Regions from separate parts of the Mus musculus genome. Here all the other regions are reported to be linked to region 1. Evidence: microRNA targets listed by miRTarBase, many of them from high-throughput screens and not tested one by one. Region 1 holds a microRNA gene; each other region holds the end of a gene's coding sequence.
What was found. The annotated mature microRNA mmu-miR-3097-3p reads CUCAGACCUUUCUACCUGUCAG and lies in region 1 at 1,940-1,961, opposite strand. An mRNA with a match to its seed (bases 2 to 7 or 8) in the 3' UTR can be bound and repressed. Matches are read on the target gene's strand: a 7mer-m8 pairs with bases 2 to 8, a 7mer-A1 pairs with bases 2 to 7 and ends in A, and an 8mer does both.

Region 1 (4,248 bases):
CGTCCTGATTTTGATTTTCCACTTAACTGTCACCAAATAGAAACATCAGTTAAGACACTAAAGGGGCTCAACACAGAGCTCTATGAGTAAGGATTCTGAGGAATCAGGTAGAATCTTCAGTGGGTCAAGGGCACAGTCCTCTCTTTCACCACCGAGGTAGCCAGGGGTTAGGGGATCAGGAAAGGGTTCAGGAGTATCTGTGTCCTACAGGCCCCACCTTCTGCTGGTGACAGGATGTGTGGTTACAGCCTTACTCTCACCCCCACAAGGGCTAGCCCAGCACCTTTTTTGGTGTGGACACATTGGAGTGGTCAGAGCTGATGCTGTGCTTGGAAGCTGGGCTGCTGGGGACCTGCTGAGAGTCCGGGAGGGTACGTCCCTCCACCTCTGCCAGGACGCATTCTTGGTACAGCTGGGATTTCAGAAAGCGAGTGTAGCTATCAAACTTCATCAGGTTGAAAATCTGTGGAGCAGATGCCATGCAGTATAGTCACAGAAAGAACGGTAACTCCTTAGGTCCTAGGCGGTATAGGAGGTCTGTACCCATGAATGAGTGACATTTTGGAAGGGTGTCATTCCTGCCAACCCTCCCTTGGGCCCCAGGGCACTCAGATGTTAATTAACTCTCCAGGGACCCTTCTGATCCCTGTCAACAGCCTCTCCTTTGTCACTCTTAGTAAGAGCAGAGTCATAGGCATAGGCACAGCCAGAAGGGCAGGCAGACTCAAGACTGTGGCTGCACCCTTAGCAGGCCTTCACTTCCTAGGAACTTGGAAGGCAGTTGTCTCAAGGGTAAGTGAGGCCTGGGGAAGCTCTGCTCTGTTTTAAGCTAATTCCTGCAACCTAGCGGCACAGCAGCTGGCAGGGCTGGGAAGTGTGTTCTGGACGGGTCAGATCACATGCTCTTCCAGAATTAAGACACAAACATGTAAACAGGGTTCCATGTGCATCCTGTGATCCGGCAGAGGCTGAGGCACGAGTATGTGAGCTTCATGTCAATGGTGGTGAAATTACACAGTGAGATCCTGTCTCAAATGACAATTGCTGCTACTGCTACTAAGCACGTAAACATGTAAGTATACAGACAGGTCCACAGCATTCTGGATGTACACTAGTGTGGCAGCGACGTGTGCTCATAGAAAGCTTTCTCTGGGCTGGGATAATGCAGTTATCATCCGCTCTCAAATGCTGGAAGTGACACCGAACTTGCTCAGAGTCAGCCCTGCAATCATCAAAGACCACTGACCTTCCATAATGTGCTGTTGTGGCCACGCTGTAGCTGTCATGTTCTGTAGGTCAAGTGTGTCCAATGTGCATACAATTTTTTTATACTTATTTATTCATTTACTTATTTAGTGAGAGAGAGAGAGAGAGAGAGAGAGTGTGTGTGTGTGTGTTGTACACCCACCATGGTCCGTGTCTAAAGAGTACAACTTATAGAAGTTGATTCTCTCCTTTCACTATGTGGGTCCCAATGATCAAACTCAGGTTGTCAGGTTTGGCGGCAAGAGCCTTTATCTGCTGAGCAGTCTCACCAGCCCCATAGACTTTTGAAAAGTAATATTGTCCCTTACTTCGGTTGACAGTGGGTACATGGGGCTATCTGTGGCAAAGGCTTTATTGTTCCTCAGATCTACTGAATCCTTTTGAGACTGGAGCCCAGTGGTCAGATGGGCTTGTCACCATGCCCACATGACCAGCAGCCCCCTTCCCAGAAGGGCACGTGCTACTCTGAGTGACTCTGCACCCCCAAGCCTTGGCTGGAAGCCCCATGGAAGACTGTCTGCAAAGTCACCTGGAGCTGTTGTTCCTTGAACATGTCAGGGTGGGGTGCATTGAGAATGTCATCTGCCAGCTGGGCCTGGCTGTCAATGTTGACAGGAGTGGTGGCTTTGCTGCACAGGAATTTACTGAAAATCTCCCGGGCCCTGTAAGAGAGCTGACAGGTAGAAAGGTCTGAGCAGATCTGTAGACACACCCACTGGACACACACTTCCCACCTGTGTCACTCAAACATTCCTAAGGCTGACTCTGCTTCGGGGCTGGAGAGCTGAGTCACAGGCCCTGTCTATAGTCTGGCTTATGAAAGTAAATATAAAAGAAAGAGCCAGGAGGAAACTCCTGAATCGGCTCCTCTACAAATTTCTAAATGGCTGCAAATTTCTAAATGGCTGCTTTGTAAGGGCCTCAGAGGAGGATCTGCCAGCAAAGTGTGCACGACAGGGGAGGGCAAAAGTGCACAATGCTCAGAGCACAAGACACAGGCATGAGGCCACTCTGTGAGGACAGCTGTTACTTTGGGGGAAAGGCCACAGGACATGGCCTGGGCAGTCCTGGGGCAGCTAGACAGGTGCTGTTAAGCCACAGGTAGAGGCTGCAGTTTGCCAGAGTGCTTCTCCAAGTCTCTTCAAACACTGTTCCTTCTTACCCAACCCAACGTCAAGTGCCACCACTGCCAGGCTCTGTGGCGAGGCATTTATGCAGACTATGTTTAGGCAGAATTAAATGTCACACACTTAAGTTTTTATGCTGAAGCAGAAATGTCACCGTTCTTTAAAGTCAGTAAGAAGCATCCCTCATCGACTGCTCAAGCAACCCTTGATGTAACCTCGGTCCTCACACAGCCCCTGCTCTGAAGAGCAGTTTACCTCTTTTTTGTCATGTGCAGGAACATGACTGAAGCACTCACAGGCCTGCCAGAATAAAATGTTCTCTTCACTGAATTCCTTACGTAGAAAATCCTGAGGGAACACAGGAAGGAGAGCAGTTGTCACTCCACAACCCCTCTATGAAGCTGAGCCCCATATCCCCGGCCCTCTTTGTCTACACCATGGCAGGAAAGGAGCCTCGCAGGGGCCTTGAAAGCAGGCATAGGGGCTGCGCAGCACACGTGAGTGGGCGGGCCATCTGCCTCACAGCTCTTTTCTCAAGGGCTGGTCATCTTTTTTTTTTTTTTTAAAGAAATATATTTTTAGTCTCTGGTTAGCATATAAAATATGACATCATATCACTGACACTATTATCACGTGCTGCTCGTAATCACTCTTTCACAGCTCCATCCCTACTTCTGGATCCTTAAGAGCTGTATTTGTCAGCATGCATTTCCAAGAATTTTGAAGAAGCTCCAGCTAGGATGATGTCATACAACTGTAATCCTAGTACTCAGAAGGATAAGGCAGGGGGATTATGAGTTCCAAACCAGACTGACTAACATAGTGAAATCCAGTCTCAAAACAAACAAAAAAAACAAACACACAGAGCCAAGACACTCTGATGTTCCTTGCTGCACAGACATCGAGAGAGTGAGAGGGAAGTGTGCCGGCAGGGAACTCCAGGGCAGGAGGCAGGCCAGGAAGGGAAAACAGAACTGCCAGCCCCTACAAGTGTACACGCTACCTACCCCATCCTTGAGCTTGGAGCAGGTGCTGGACGACCACACCTCTAACAAGGTGATGCCCAGGCTCTGAGGTCTGAGATGGCCCCGTGAGCTCAAGCACCCGGGCTCAAAGTGCTGCCACCCCACAGCAGTCCCCCTTACTCACAGAGAAGTAGCGAACACCAACAGGATCCTGAAGGAGACGCTCAAATGACACTGCCCAGCTTGCAACTCTCCTCTCTCGTAGGCGCCGGCAGCTCTGCACACTGGGGAGGCTGGCATTGCTGCTCAGGCTGTTGTTGCTGATGCAGTCCTTAAGGTCAGCTCCAGTCAACTCTGCAGGATCATCACAGACATACCTGCACCTCGGAGGCCACAGGTACCTATATCCAGCTCTACTTCCCACAACCCATGTTGTTCACTGAGCAACATGTACTGCACCTGAAACCTAGCCAAGGCTTTCTAGACTTCAGAAAAGAACACATCTCAACTTCCCAGGGCTGAACAAGAGAAGCTATTGCCTAAGGTGTGCATACAACACAGAGCAGAAAGAATGATGCTGAGCATACGGAAGGCGGGAAGGCATTTATAAGTGCACCACAAAGCAAAAGCCCCTGAGTGAAGTCTGAGGAGGGGCTGCAGTTGGTCCCATCACCCTCCTGGTGCTGTCTGCTGCAATTTGGATCCATGGCTCATTGCCTGTGCACTTTTCTGTGTGCAGATCACTTTTCAGTGACGATATTAAGCCACACTATCCAAACTGAGTATTTAACCATGTGTCATCTGGTAGCTCATTCACTGATGACCCGATACAGGAAAATATTACAACAAAGAAAAGGAGATGTGTCTAGGAAGACCCCATCTATCACCCT
Region 2 (4,000 bases), not on the chromosome of region 1:
GTTAGGTTCCAAGCACGCAATTGACTGGTTCCCAACCACCTGTAATTCCAGCCTCAGGAGACACAGCTCCCTCTTCTGCCTTCATGGGGACCTGTAAGCACATACATGCATGCATTCATGTGTGCATATAGCAACACACACACACACACACACACACACACACACACACACAGTTAAACCAAAATCTTTATAGTATGTGTGCGTCATAAAGATGTACACTCAGAACTTGTTTTAGGATAAATATTATATCATTATGTGGAGTGTAAATTCCAAATGGTAACGTGACTAGTCAGCAGCGACATTTCAGAAGTCAGTGTGTGCACTGTTACTGTGAAAGTTGACTAAGGCGATGGATGCACTTGCTGAGTTGACGTGCTGCTCTCTGTCTCCCTCCCCAAAAACAGCAATCACTGAGGAGACACTCTGTGTCGGCTTAGCCAGAGTGGGAGCTGAAGATCAGAAAATTGCAGCAGGCACGTTACAGCAGATGTGCACAGTGAGCTTGGGAGAACCACTGCATTCTTTGGTCATTACAGGGGGCAACCTGCACCCACTGGAGATGGAGATGCTAAGTCTCTTCTCTATACCGGAATCCCAGAGTACTGATGGACTCTGAGCATGGACATTTTCTGTTGTCTCACGATCATTTCAGTGAGATTGGGGTGTGTGTGGTATTTATATGTCAAATGGCATGGCTCTGTCATTTATGAAGAAGATATAACCGAAGTGACCAAGAAGAAGCAGGTTGAACGACAGCGTTTGGTTTCCTGCGGCAGCTTCCCCCATTCCATCGTGAGTTTCCTACTCGTCAGGGTGCACACACGTGGGCAGATGGAGCTGAAAAAGGGAGCCAAGTCGATGCAAGGAGGTGGAGACCAAGAATAACGTGAGGAAACTGGACAATGAATCACTTGAACTCTGATTTTCAGGGACAAAGCAGCATGAATCAGCAAGAAAAGCAAATAAAAGATTGCTAACTCTTCATATATTGTTTTATAATCTCCTTTATAAAAGGTAGCTGTCAGGCTGGAGAGATGGCTCAGTGGTTAAGAGCACTGACTGCTCTTCCAGAGGTCCTGAGTTCAATTCCCAGCAACCACATGGTGGCTCACAACCATCTGTAATGGGATCTGATGCTCTCTTCTGGTGTGTCTGAAGACAGGTAATCGTGTATTCATATATATAAAATAAATAAATAAGTCTTTTTTTTTTTTTTTTTTAAAAAAAAGGTAGCAGTCAGCGACTGAGAACATACCTTATTTGGTGTAAAAATTCAAGTGTGGCAGTGTATGGCTGTAACCCTGATGCAGGGTGGGAGCAGGCAGATTCCCTGAAGCTTTCTGGTTAGTCTGTGTGTGCCTTATTCAATGTGAGACAGTTTCAAAAGATAAGGTGATAGCTGAGTGTGGTGACTCACTCCTTAAATCCCAGTACTCAGGAGGCAGAGGCAGGCGGATTTCTGAGTTTGAGGCCAGCCTGATCTACATAGCAAGTTCCAGACTACCTTATGAATAATAATAATAATAATAATAATAATAATAATAATAGTGGAACAGGATAGAGGAAGAGGATACCCAATGTTGATGTTTGTCATCGCACGTGCACACATGAATACACATTTACTAAATACCAATTTTAAAAGGCTCGTTTGTTTAATAGCCGTAAAGTGCTTTGCCTTTGCCCATCTGCAATAGAAGTAGCTTCATGACAGTCATGAGTATTTCCATAGCCTAATCAACTCCATCTTTTTGCTCAGTCTATTCATGAATATTGGTTGAAATTTTTTTCTACTTTCTGGTATTATATATGCATTAGCTAGAAAATATTTTGACATTTCATTTAGGATGAAATATTGTAATGTGTACAAAACATCCCATTTTCAAATTATTGTGCACACAAGAAGAAAGAGACAAGTAGCTTAAGGCAGTTCTATGTTGTTTTCTTCGGGGGTGTTAAACCAAACACTTAAATGTTTTAAATATAAAGGACTTGCAGGTTTGGTATTCGAATGGCACTCATTCCCTCCAGTTAAAAACTCTTTTACACTGCATGATTGTTGGAAGACACTGGGGAGCCAGAGGGCAGGCTGAGAACTTTGCCTATGTGGCTTTTCCTGTTGAGACTTTTCCAGACATTCAACCAAGCTAGTGTCCTACTGGCTTGAGATGGTTAGTGGATGGAACTGTGGGCTCCAAAGGGAGCTGGACACTGAAGAAGGAGCCCTTAGAAAGTAAGGTGCTCTGGAGTGGTGAGTCTTCTGACCTCTGTCCTACGTCCTCAGCTTACTCCTTACTTTCTGTATGTGTACAAAGAGCCACAGATCTAGGTGAAAAACCTGGCCAGGGGCTAAAGAAACAGACATTGCTCTCCATTGTGAGAGAAGACAGCTTCAAGCTTGAATTCTGACAAGTTAGGAGGGCTTGATAAGTATGCATGCTTTCCTTCAGAAACCCAGAATGACCGTGTACTAGTAAAGGCCGAGCCTGGAACTCAATTAAGGACAAAGTGTTTCATATAATGTGAAGTTCAGCCTCCATAGGATGAAGGTGGTAAGCAGTGGGTTAATGTCTACAAGGACAAAGTTTAAGATGGTTCAGAAAATGGTGACAGAAATTAGTATAGTATCAATAATAGCCTTAGAACAGAATATACGGTATGGCTTTATGACTAGAAAGGAAGAACACTGGGTGACAGAGATGTTAACATACCCTAGACTCTGCCACTTTAGAACTGTGCATGGATGGAAAGCAAAGGTGTTTTTATGAGTGCAGACAATGAGTCTTGTCATCCAAGAACAAAAAGAAAAAGCAAATTGGCCGAAGTACAGAGGAAGAGAAATTTTTCCAACCTGAGGAAGACTAAAATTAAAAAAAATTAATCAGAATTGTAATGTCATGGGGGCAAGATCAAGTCATTTTTAAAATCTCCACACTGGTGGACAGAAAATGACTGCATGTGTGTGTGCAAGTGCATGTGTGTGCACTCACGCATACACACGTGTGCATGTGCCAGTGCCTGTTTAGAGGTGACAGGACAGCTTCTAGAAGCAGGTTGTGGGGATTGAGCTCGGATTGTTAGGTTTGGCAGCGAGCACTTTTACCTGGTGACCCACCTCAGCAGCTCCAATATCAAACAGTTTTAAAAAGCATGTCGGGCCAGGCAGTGGTGGCGCACACCTTTAATCCCAGCACTTGGGAGGCAGAGGCAGGCGGATTTCTGAGTTCGAGGCCAGCTTGGTCTACAGAGTGAGTTCCAGGACAGCCAGCAGGGCTCTACAGAGAAACCCTGTTTTGAAAAACCAAAACCAAACAAACAAAAACCAAAAGCATGTCGGTAATGAGATGTGAGAGCGAGGGAGGGAGCAGAGTAGAGCAGAGCAGAGCAGGTAGAAATGACAGCTAAAATTTCCTCATTTGGTAAACATCAATACATTGATCCAATATACTCAGTGAACTACAAGCAAAATAAGTAGGAAATTCATACCTGTCAGTTAAAACTGAGAAAAGTCAAAGTTAGCTGGAAAGCAAGCAAAAATGCTTGTAGGATTAGAGCTTACCAAATGTAATTTGAAATTAAAATTTAGGTTTGTTTGTTTGTTTGTTTCTCAGCTTGGCAAACCTGCATGTAATTTAACCTCAATGTAAATGAGTTAAAGAATGAAAACTTCACCAGTACTAAGAGATGATCAGTGCTGGAGTCCCAGGGTTGAGACAGAGACCGGAGAAAGGAGTGCACATTTGGTGTTTCTTTAGCAGTTGAGCTCTTTATTGGCTTTGGCTGTCTTGAAGTTTGGTCTCGATTTGCTTTGGCTCTTGCAGTGCCGGGGTAAAGGAAGTTAGATCACACAGCTTTGGCCTTGTGTGTGTTAGGCACGGATTTTACCATGCTGTTGCCCATAGCTAGGTGTCAATGTATCAACAGAAAGATTCAGTGAATCGCCTTGATAGTAACACTGCTGTCACCAAGAATTCCTTCTCTCTGTCCCTTTGCCCGTTGCCCT
Region 3 (4,000 bases), not on the chromosome of region 1:
CATTGCTAAAGTGGAAGAGCTGAAGAAAAAGGAGCCATGCTAAGAGCATTTTGGCAGACACAAGGAAGTAGCATGGCTCCACTGGTAGGGGACGGGTTTAAGATTCCTGATGGCTGAAACACACTGAAAGGGTAGCAGCGTTAGCAGAAACACCAATAAATCATTCAAACTGCATGAGAGTGGAGTCTGTGGCAAAAGAGAAACTTTGAGGGTCCTGGAGAAGTATTTAGATGTGTAGAAGCCTCTCTCTGCTGGGTGAAACTCCATTAATCTGCCTTTCTGTGGTCTGACTGGCATTAATAGTCTTCCCAGTTCCACAATGTGTGTGGATATTTGGCAGAAGAGCAAAGAGGTGGGGTGAATCATGCTATTAAAATAACCAGGGGTGGGGGCTTGGATCTGTATTATCAGGGGTTATCAACACACCAAGAACCCAACAGTACAGAGGAGAAAGGGGCTCTGCCTTCTAAAGAGCTAAAGACAAATAGAAAAGCCCTCACCTAGAACACAGGTCCAGAGAAGTTAGGATTTTGATGGAACTCAAACTTTGAGTGACATGGTGAAGTGGGTCATGCATCACGCACAGCAGCTGAGGGACAGGGAAGAAGGGTGGCCTCAGCATCTCAGTGCCTGAAAGAATCACCTAAGCCTTAGCAACCTAAATGTTCTTAACCTAGGTTTCTGCTTGGGGCCCAGTGATGGACGGACACACACATGCACACGCACATGAACGTACGCACGTGTGGCTCATGTAAGTGCCGGTGTCCATCACTACAGAGGCATCAGTGTGCTAAAATTGTGCCCAGAAGTTGGCAAATGAAGTGTTAAAGTAGAATTCTTAACTTCGTGGTAGCATGGTAGTATGTGTCTTGTCTGAAGCAAGCAGTACTTGCCTGGCACCAGGGTTTGCTCTCTAGCAAATCTGGTCATATAACAGCAAGTTTCTCTAGGCAGTTGGGTGGGGGGTGGGAGCTATACTTTGTTTTATGAGATAGGACTTGGCTGATCTGGATTCACTCTATAAACCAGGCTGGCCATCAGGGATCCATCTGATTCTTCCTCCTGAGTGCTGCATTTAAAGTATGAGCCACCATGATGGCTATAAAGTTTATTGTTTATCATTACATTTTTTTTATTGTGTGCACTGTGTGTGTGGGTGTGAGGGTGCCAAGTGTGCATGTGAAGGTCAGAACACAATTCAGAGTTGGTTCTCTCCAACTTTTACATGGGTTCACAGGATCAAACTCAGGCTGCTAGGCTTTCCTGGAAAGCATCTTTACCTACAGGGCTCTTTGTGGGCCCTATGATGGCCATTTTCTCTCTCTCAGTGATGCAGATATAGGCCAGACTAGACCAGATTAAAAGATTGTAGGGAATTGGCTCTAATGCTTTGTTTTAATTCATCTCCCCAAAGCCTTATTTCCAAATGCTGAGGGTCCCTGCCCCCAGGTGTCTTTGATCAGTACTAAAAAACTGCCATACAGCCAATGACTGGGCAAGGGGCAGAAGGAGATGAAGAGCAGGCAGATTCTCCATGACTTAGAAGCAGAGAGATTAAAGAGCTGCAGGAAAGAAATCATCCAGCAATGTAGGTGTAAAGGGAAAGCCACCCCAATGGAGGCTACCAAGAAGGAAACAGGGCCGCAAAAATAAAATATTGATTTAGAAGGTATTAACTCAGGAATGCCAGAGGGGAGTCTGTGCTAGCTGAGGGGAGGTTTGGAAGTGCCCGGCCACTGAGCAAGTTAGGCATATTAAAAATTAAGCTGGCATGTGTGCGTGCGTGCATGCCTTTGTGTCTTTGATTCTCAAATTCTTGAATTTAGAACACTCTGGCAGGTGGCTAAAGGCTGGATCACCCGCCAGAAGGGTGCTCAAAGCAGTTTACCTATTCACCATTATGGTTGATAAAGGCAGGTTTATTAGGAGGCAGCTCTTGGGTGGGTTCACTGACCTCACAGGATCAGTGAAGTCACACATGCAGGCTAAAGCAAGGGGTTTTTACAGAGTTTAGGTGAGGGGTGATGATGTGCCAGCTAGGAGTTGGATTCTGTCCATACATAGCCAAAAAATTCTTTGAAACATCAAGCCTGGTGTCTGATTTAGGAGTTCTACTGCTGTGAAGAGACACCATGATCACAGCAACTCTTTTTTTTTTTTTTTTTAAGGTTCTTTTCAGATTTATTTATTTATTACATGTAAGTACACCGTAGCTGTCTTCAGACACACCAGAAGAGGGAGTCAGATCTTGTTACGGATGGTTGTGAGCCACCACGTGGTTGCTGGGATTTGAACTAAGGACCTTTGGAAGAGCAGTCGGGTGCTCTTACCTGCTGAGCCATCTCGCCAGCCCCACAGCAACTCTTAAAATGGCATTTAATTGGGCCTAGCTTACAGTTTCAGAAGGTCAGTCCATTATCATTATGGTTGGAAACATGGCATTATGCAAGTGGACTTGGTACTGAAGGAGCCAAAAGTTTGACATCTTAATCGAAAACCAGCCAGGAGGAGACTGCTACATTGTCCAGACTTGAGCACATATAAGAGATCTCCACAGTGACACAGTTCCTCTAACAATGCTACACCTCCTCCAATAAGGCCACACCTCCAATAGTGCCACTTTCCATGGGCCAACCATGTTCAATCCACCACATGGAATAGTGGCCCACATCTATAGTCCTAACACTGGAGGCTGAAGCAGGACAAACATTCAAAACCACTGGGTACAGTATCCTGTGCATTTGATCTCAGCAAGAGGCAGGGGTGGGTTGGTCTCTTGAGTTTGAGACCAATCTAGCCTACCGAGTTCCAGTTACGAAGTTAAAAGCTGCCTTGAGTTACATGGTGAATTAATAGGTTACCCAGAGCTATCAGGTGAGACTGTCTCAGAAAGCCAATGGGAAAAGTTTCTAAACGTCAAGACCTTCTGTGGTAAGATAACAGAACAGAATCTTACCATCGGGTCCTGGAAATGAGTACTCTAAGCAGTAGATTTAGCTTTTGTTTTTTTTTTGTTTGTTTGTTTGTTTTGAGACAGGGTCTCTATAGTCCTGGCTGGCCTCTAACTCAGACACTCTCCTGTCTCTGTATCCCAAGTGCTGGGATTAAAGGCGTGCACCCCCATGCCTAGCTGGTTTGGCTTCATTCTGACATTTGTTTCAATAGTATCTACATGATTAACAGGTAATCAGATTTTCCTCCAGCCCCAACCAAGAGTAATATTCCATATAGTTGTCTCAGTCTGGACAATAAATTTGTTACCAAATTTAATACAATTACACACAGTAGGAATTTGCCTCTACCAAGAGTGATAAAAATATTTCATTTCTAAAAACAGAGCTTTGAAGAGTGAAACTACTGCACAGACCTCCTATGCAGGACACAGCCAAGTGGTGGGAGCATTTCTCAAAACATAAGTGCCAGACTGATAACAGACTGGACTGGAGATGTAAGTGCTCTTCATGTGTCTTCCACTAACCCGAAGCCTTTGGTTTATTCCTCGTAGCAAACCACTCGTCACTTTTGTCTGCTTCCATTGCCTAGGAAACAGAGGGACAAATGTTACTCCAAGTCTGCATTCTCCACCGTGCATTAATGCTAAAGCAGTCCATCTGTGTGGAGAATGTTGTTCACTCACAGGAGAGCTGGTGAGCAGCAAACAGTTGCTTGGTGATTTGCACAGCTGGCCAGAGAGCCTGGCCGCTGATGAAAGACCAGGGACTGTGCAACTACCGAGTCCTTGGCAGAACAGGAACCCTCAATGCTCATGAGCTTAATCTGAGACCAAACAAAATGAATGCAGCCCAGTGGTGGAATACTGACCTTCAGTTCACACCCCAGTACCACCACCAAAAATAGTATTTGAGACAGCCAGGCAAACACTTTATTCCCAGCACTCAGGAGGCAGAAGTAGGGAGATCTCTGAGTTTGAGGCCAGCCTGACCTACAGACCAAGTTTCAGGACAGCCAGAGATACACAGAAAAATCAATTCTTAAAAAT
Region 4 (4,000 bases), not on the chromosome of region 1:
GGGTACATCCCAAGCCCTAACTATGCCTCCTAACTTTAAAACTACTCCACCAATTTTTCTCAAACAAAGTCAAAGTACCATGTATTACCAACTGCTGTAGCACTGTTTCTCAGACTCCTGAGTCACAGGTCACTTAGATCAGGGCAGGTAAGACCCAACAGCAGCCAGAGTGGCTTTCCTTCTTCCCACAGGACAGCACACAAAGGGTGGAGAACCAAGTTTTCCACATGTGGCGCTTCTACAACTATGCCAGGATGAGAAAAGTGGCTGACTTCTTCCTCCTGCAGTCTAACTACACCTATGTGAACTGGTGGTCCACAGCTCAGAGCCTTGCTATTGTTCTTTCCGGGGCCCTCCAGCTCTATTTCTTGAAAAGACTTTTTACTGCTTCAACTACTGACACAAAGAAGCCAAGATGCTAACATATAGCCTATTTGTCAAAGCTTTGATCAAATGGGCTTTGGAAAGTTATTGGGGGGGGGGTCAACTTATGTCCCCTTTCTCTTGTGTCCACCAATAAAGGCAAATGTTTAACAAAAAGTGAGTTCTGCTGCTGATCATTCTAAAATACGAATTAAGTGCTAAAAGCTAAAAGTACTGTTTATCTGAGGCAGGGTTTCAATATGTAGCCTTGGCTACTAGAACTTGCCGGGTAGACCCAACTCACCCCAAACTAAAGAGATTCTGCATCCCCACTGCTGGCAAGGTGTGTAACCCCATCCGCAGCCTAGAAACATCTTTATCCAGCTGTCCCTCAGCCTTCACTGACGCACGCCTTTAATCCCAGCAGAGGCAGGCGGATTTCTGAGTTCGAGGCCAGCCTGGTCTACAGAGTGAGTTCCAGGACAGCCAGGGCTACACAGAGAAACCCTGGAAGTGGGTTCAAGGATGAAGCTCCCTTCAGTAAGAGCACCTGCTTTGTATGCAGTTTGGGCCTCGATCCCTGGCACCACAGAAATCAGGGTGGTGGCTCTCAAATCTGAACTCTAGCACTGCAGAGGAAGCACTAAGATCAGCCTTAGGCAGTTCAAGACCATATCTCAAAGTACGTTAAAAGCTCTGAAAGAGTTGATACGGAGACAACTTTTTGGAGTTTAAAAAATTTTAATCCATTGTAGAGGACTACAAAGGTCAGCAATGTCCCCACCTTCAACCTTGTCCCAGGGATTGAACACAGCATCAGGCTTGGTGGCACATGGCTGATCCACCCTACCAGGCTGTCCACTGAGCTATCTTCTTGGCCTGTAGTGCCCTTCAACGGTTGGAAATATTTTACTTTATTTAAAAGATGTTACCATTGGAAACTGGTGTGGCGACAGACCTATAATACCATTACCTGAGAGGCTAAGACAGCCTGGGTCCCATAGCATTTCAGACCAACTTAGATATAATGTGACAAATGTCTCAAAAAATAAAAATGCCCCCTAAAACTGACATAACCTGATCATATCTTAAGAAACTGTTCTGCCGGGTGTGGTGGTGCATGCCTTTAATCCCAGCACTCGGGAGGCAGAGGCAGGTGGATTTCTGAGTTCGAGGCCAGCCTGGTCTACAAAGTGAGTTCCAGGACTGCCAGGGCTATACAGAGAAACCCTGTCTCAAAAAAAAAGAAAAAGAAATTGTTCTGAAGTTAGGCATGGTGGGGCACATTTTTTAAGGCCAGTATTTTGGAGGCAAACAGATCTCTGAGTTTGAGGCCAGCCTGGTCTACAGAATGAGTTCCAGGACAGTCAGGGCTACAGAGAAACCCTGTCTCAAAAGAACAAACAAAAACAAAACAAACAAAAAAAACAAACAAAAACAAAAAAAAAAGGGAGGTGGGGGAATTGAGCCTGGTATGGTAGTATACCCATTTAATCTCAGCACTTCAGAATCAATGGATCCTTGAGTTTGAGGCCAGCCTGGGTACATTCTAAGCAGAGATACATAGTCAGAACTTGTTTCAATTAAAAAAAAAAAAAAGTAACAAAATCATTTTAACACAGACAGGGAAGATGGCTCAGCAGTTCAGAAAGAACATTCTCTTTTAGAGGACTGAAGTTTGGTTCCCAACACCAACAATGGCCAGCTCACAACTGTCCTTACCTCAGGCTCCAAGGAATCCCAAGTGTTTTCTGCCCTCTGAGGATACCGCTACCCAAGCAGGATATACTCACACAGACACGCACGAACAATTTCCTGTTTTGAGACAGGATAACTCTATCCCATGCAGGATGCTTTACAACTGCTATTTTTTATTTATTTATTATATGTAAGTAAGTACACTGTAGCTGTCTTCAGACACTCCAGAAGAGGGAGTCAGATCTTGTTACGGATGGTTGTGAGCCACCATGTGGTTGCTGGGGTTTGAACTCCGGACCTTTGGAAGAGCAGTCGGGTGCTCTTACCCACTGAGCCATCTCACCAGCCCCTACAACTGCTATTTTTAATTCTGAATATCACTGTTACACTGATGACTGGAGGTGTTTTTTCAGTTTTGTGGGTTTTGGGTTTAAGACTGGCCAGGATCTCCTTATGTAGACCAGGCTGGCCTTGAACCTATAGAGCTCCATCTGCCTTTGCCTCACCCTCAAGCCCCCGTGCTGTAACTAAAGATATGCACCACCATACGGCAGGGTCATGGGTTTTTTCTTTTAACAAAGGAAGAAAATGAAGCCTCTCTAAGCAGAGAACTTGTCCACCACCACAGCTGGCAAGGGGCAGAACTGAGGCTTGAATACAGACGCTTCCACGCTATACCCCACTTAACACCAAGAAAAATAGCCAAAATGCACCTATTAAATTTATTAGGATAGCTTAGTGGTTAAGACCACTGCTGTCCCTGCAGAGGACCTGAGTTTAATTTCTGGCACCTATACGGTGGCTCACAACCAGTAACTCTAGTTCCAGGTCTGAAATCACCTTGACTTCCTTAGGCACCAGGCACATAAGCAGTGCACATACGTACATGCCAACAAAACACTCACACATATGAAATAACAAATATAAAACCATTAAAATTTATTAAATTCCATATGTAAAACCAGAGGCTCATATGGCCGTTTCTACCTTTAACATTAACACACAATAGAAAGTCCACTGTGCTATCATGAGCCTGGAAAACAGTGTTATCACAGATAACAGTAAGATGGCTCCTGTCCTCAGTGAAGTAACTTAGAAACCATCACTCAGAGCAAGTCTTCTGATCCAAACAAAGACGACGCAGACACAAAACAGAAACACTCTATTTACTCACACAAAACACTCTCAGGTTCTGGTTTGTCTGTTTTAGATTTTTGAGACAAGGCTCACTATGTAGCCCAGGCTAGCCTTGAACTCTCCAAGTAGCCTGAGCTGGCCTTATACTTGTGATCCACCTGCTTTTGACTCTAGAGGGCCAGAGACCCTGTTTTCACGCCATTTCTGTTGATAAGAACCCAAGTTGCGTATCTCAGTGTTGTCCAGATTTAATCTGATGGCCGCACACAGGAAACAAAGCTAAGTCCTCTCACACAGCAAAATGTTCTTGGAATGACCGTCCTAAGTCAGTGTCTCTTCATGGCGTACGTACTCCCCAATGTCTGCTTGGTGGAACACCACAATTGCCATGGGGTCCACTTTTCGGCAGTCTTGGGTAGACTTTGCTGCCACCCCAAAACCCTGGAATTGAAAGAACAGACATTCATTTATAAGGAAACAAAACAAAACAAAAACTATATTGAAACAGCTGTATCTTTGAGAACTGTGAAAGGAGCCAAGAAGTCAGTCTCCGAGCTGCTGACTGAAACTTCATCCTTTCCAGTGGGTACCTGGCATTTGCCGTGATGGATGGCTACCGTGGCTACTCACCAGAGGAATGTCCGCCATGGAATAGACAACCACTCCCTGGTACTGAGATGTGTTCTCAGTAATTCGACCCAGACCGGATTTCAACACATGGTTTCCATACAAGAAGGACTGCTCTGCTCCCGGCTTTACCCACACTTTATACTGAAAGAGAGTTAAAAGCCAAGACACAAGG

Region 2: miRTarBase lists Dph5 as a target of mmu-miR-3097-3p. Seed matches in the 3' UTR shown: 7mer-A1 at 1,151-1,157.
Region 3: the mRNA of Glod4 is a reported target of mmu-miR-3097-3p. Seed matches in the 3' UTR shown: 7mer-A1 at 2,219-2,225.
Region 4: miRTarBase lists Nip7 as a target of mmu-miR-3097-3p. Seed matches in the 3' UTR shown: 7mer-A1 at 2,276-2,282 and 8mer at 1,371-1,378.

What each region holds. Positions count from the first base shown.
Region 1 is chr5:35,018,807-35,023,054 of GRCm38, reverse strand. Mir3097 (microRNA 3097) reads right to left here and starts at 2,006; the gene lies at 1,940-2,006. It overlaps Rgs12 (regulator of G-protein signaling 12), which reads right to left. Exons shown (of 17, transcript NM_173402.2): 5 at 3,543-3,712; 6 at 2,649-2,741; 7 at 1,796-1,939; 8 at 284-463; 9 at 1-26.
Region 2 is chr3:115,928,105-115,932,104 of GRCm38, forward strand. It overlaps Dph5 (diphthamide biosynthesis 5), which reads left to right. Exons shown (of 8, transcript NM_027193.2): 8 at 405-1,219. The coding sequence ends at 616. Among named protein-coding and RNA genes, the nearest start is that of Dph5, 42 kb to the left of the region's middle.
Region 3 is chr11:76,218,493-76,222,492 of GRCm38, forward strand. It overlaps Glod4 (glyoxalase domain containing 4), which reads right to left. Exons shown (of 9, transcript NM_026029.3): 9 at 1,903-3,539. The coding sequence ends at 3,474. Dbil5 (diazepam binding inhibitor-like 5) reads left to right here. Exons shown (of 2, transcript NM_021294.2): 2 at 1-173. The coding sequence ends at 43. Among named protein-coding and RNA genes, the nearest start is that of Dbil5, 2.9 kb to the left of the region's middle.
Region 4 is chr8:107,058,016-107,062,015 of GRCm38, reverse strand. It overlaps Nip7 (NIP7, nucleolar pre-rRNA processing protein), which reads right to left. Exons shown (of 5, transcript NM_025391.2): 4 at 3,829-3,969; 5 at 1,085-3,639. The coding sequence ends at 3,520. Tmed6 (transmembrane p24 trafficking protein 6) reads left to right here. Exons shown (of 4, transcript NM_025458.2): 4 at 192-532. The coding sequence ends at 422. Among named protein-coding and RNA genes, the nearest start is that of Nip7, 3.1 kb to the right of the region's middle.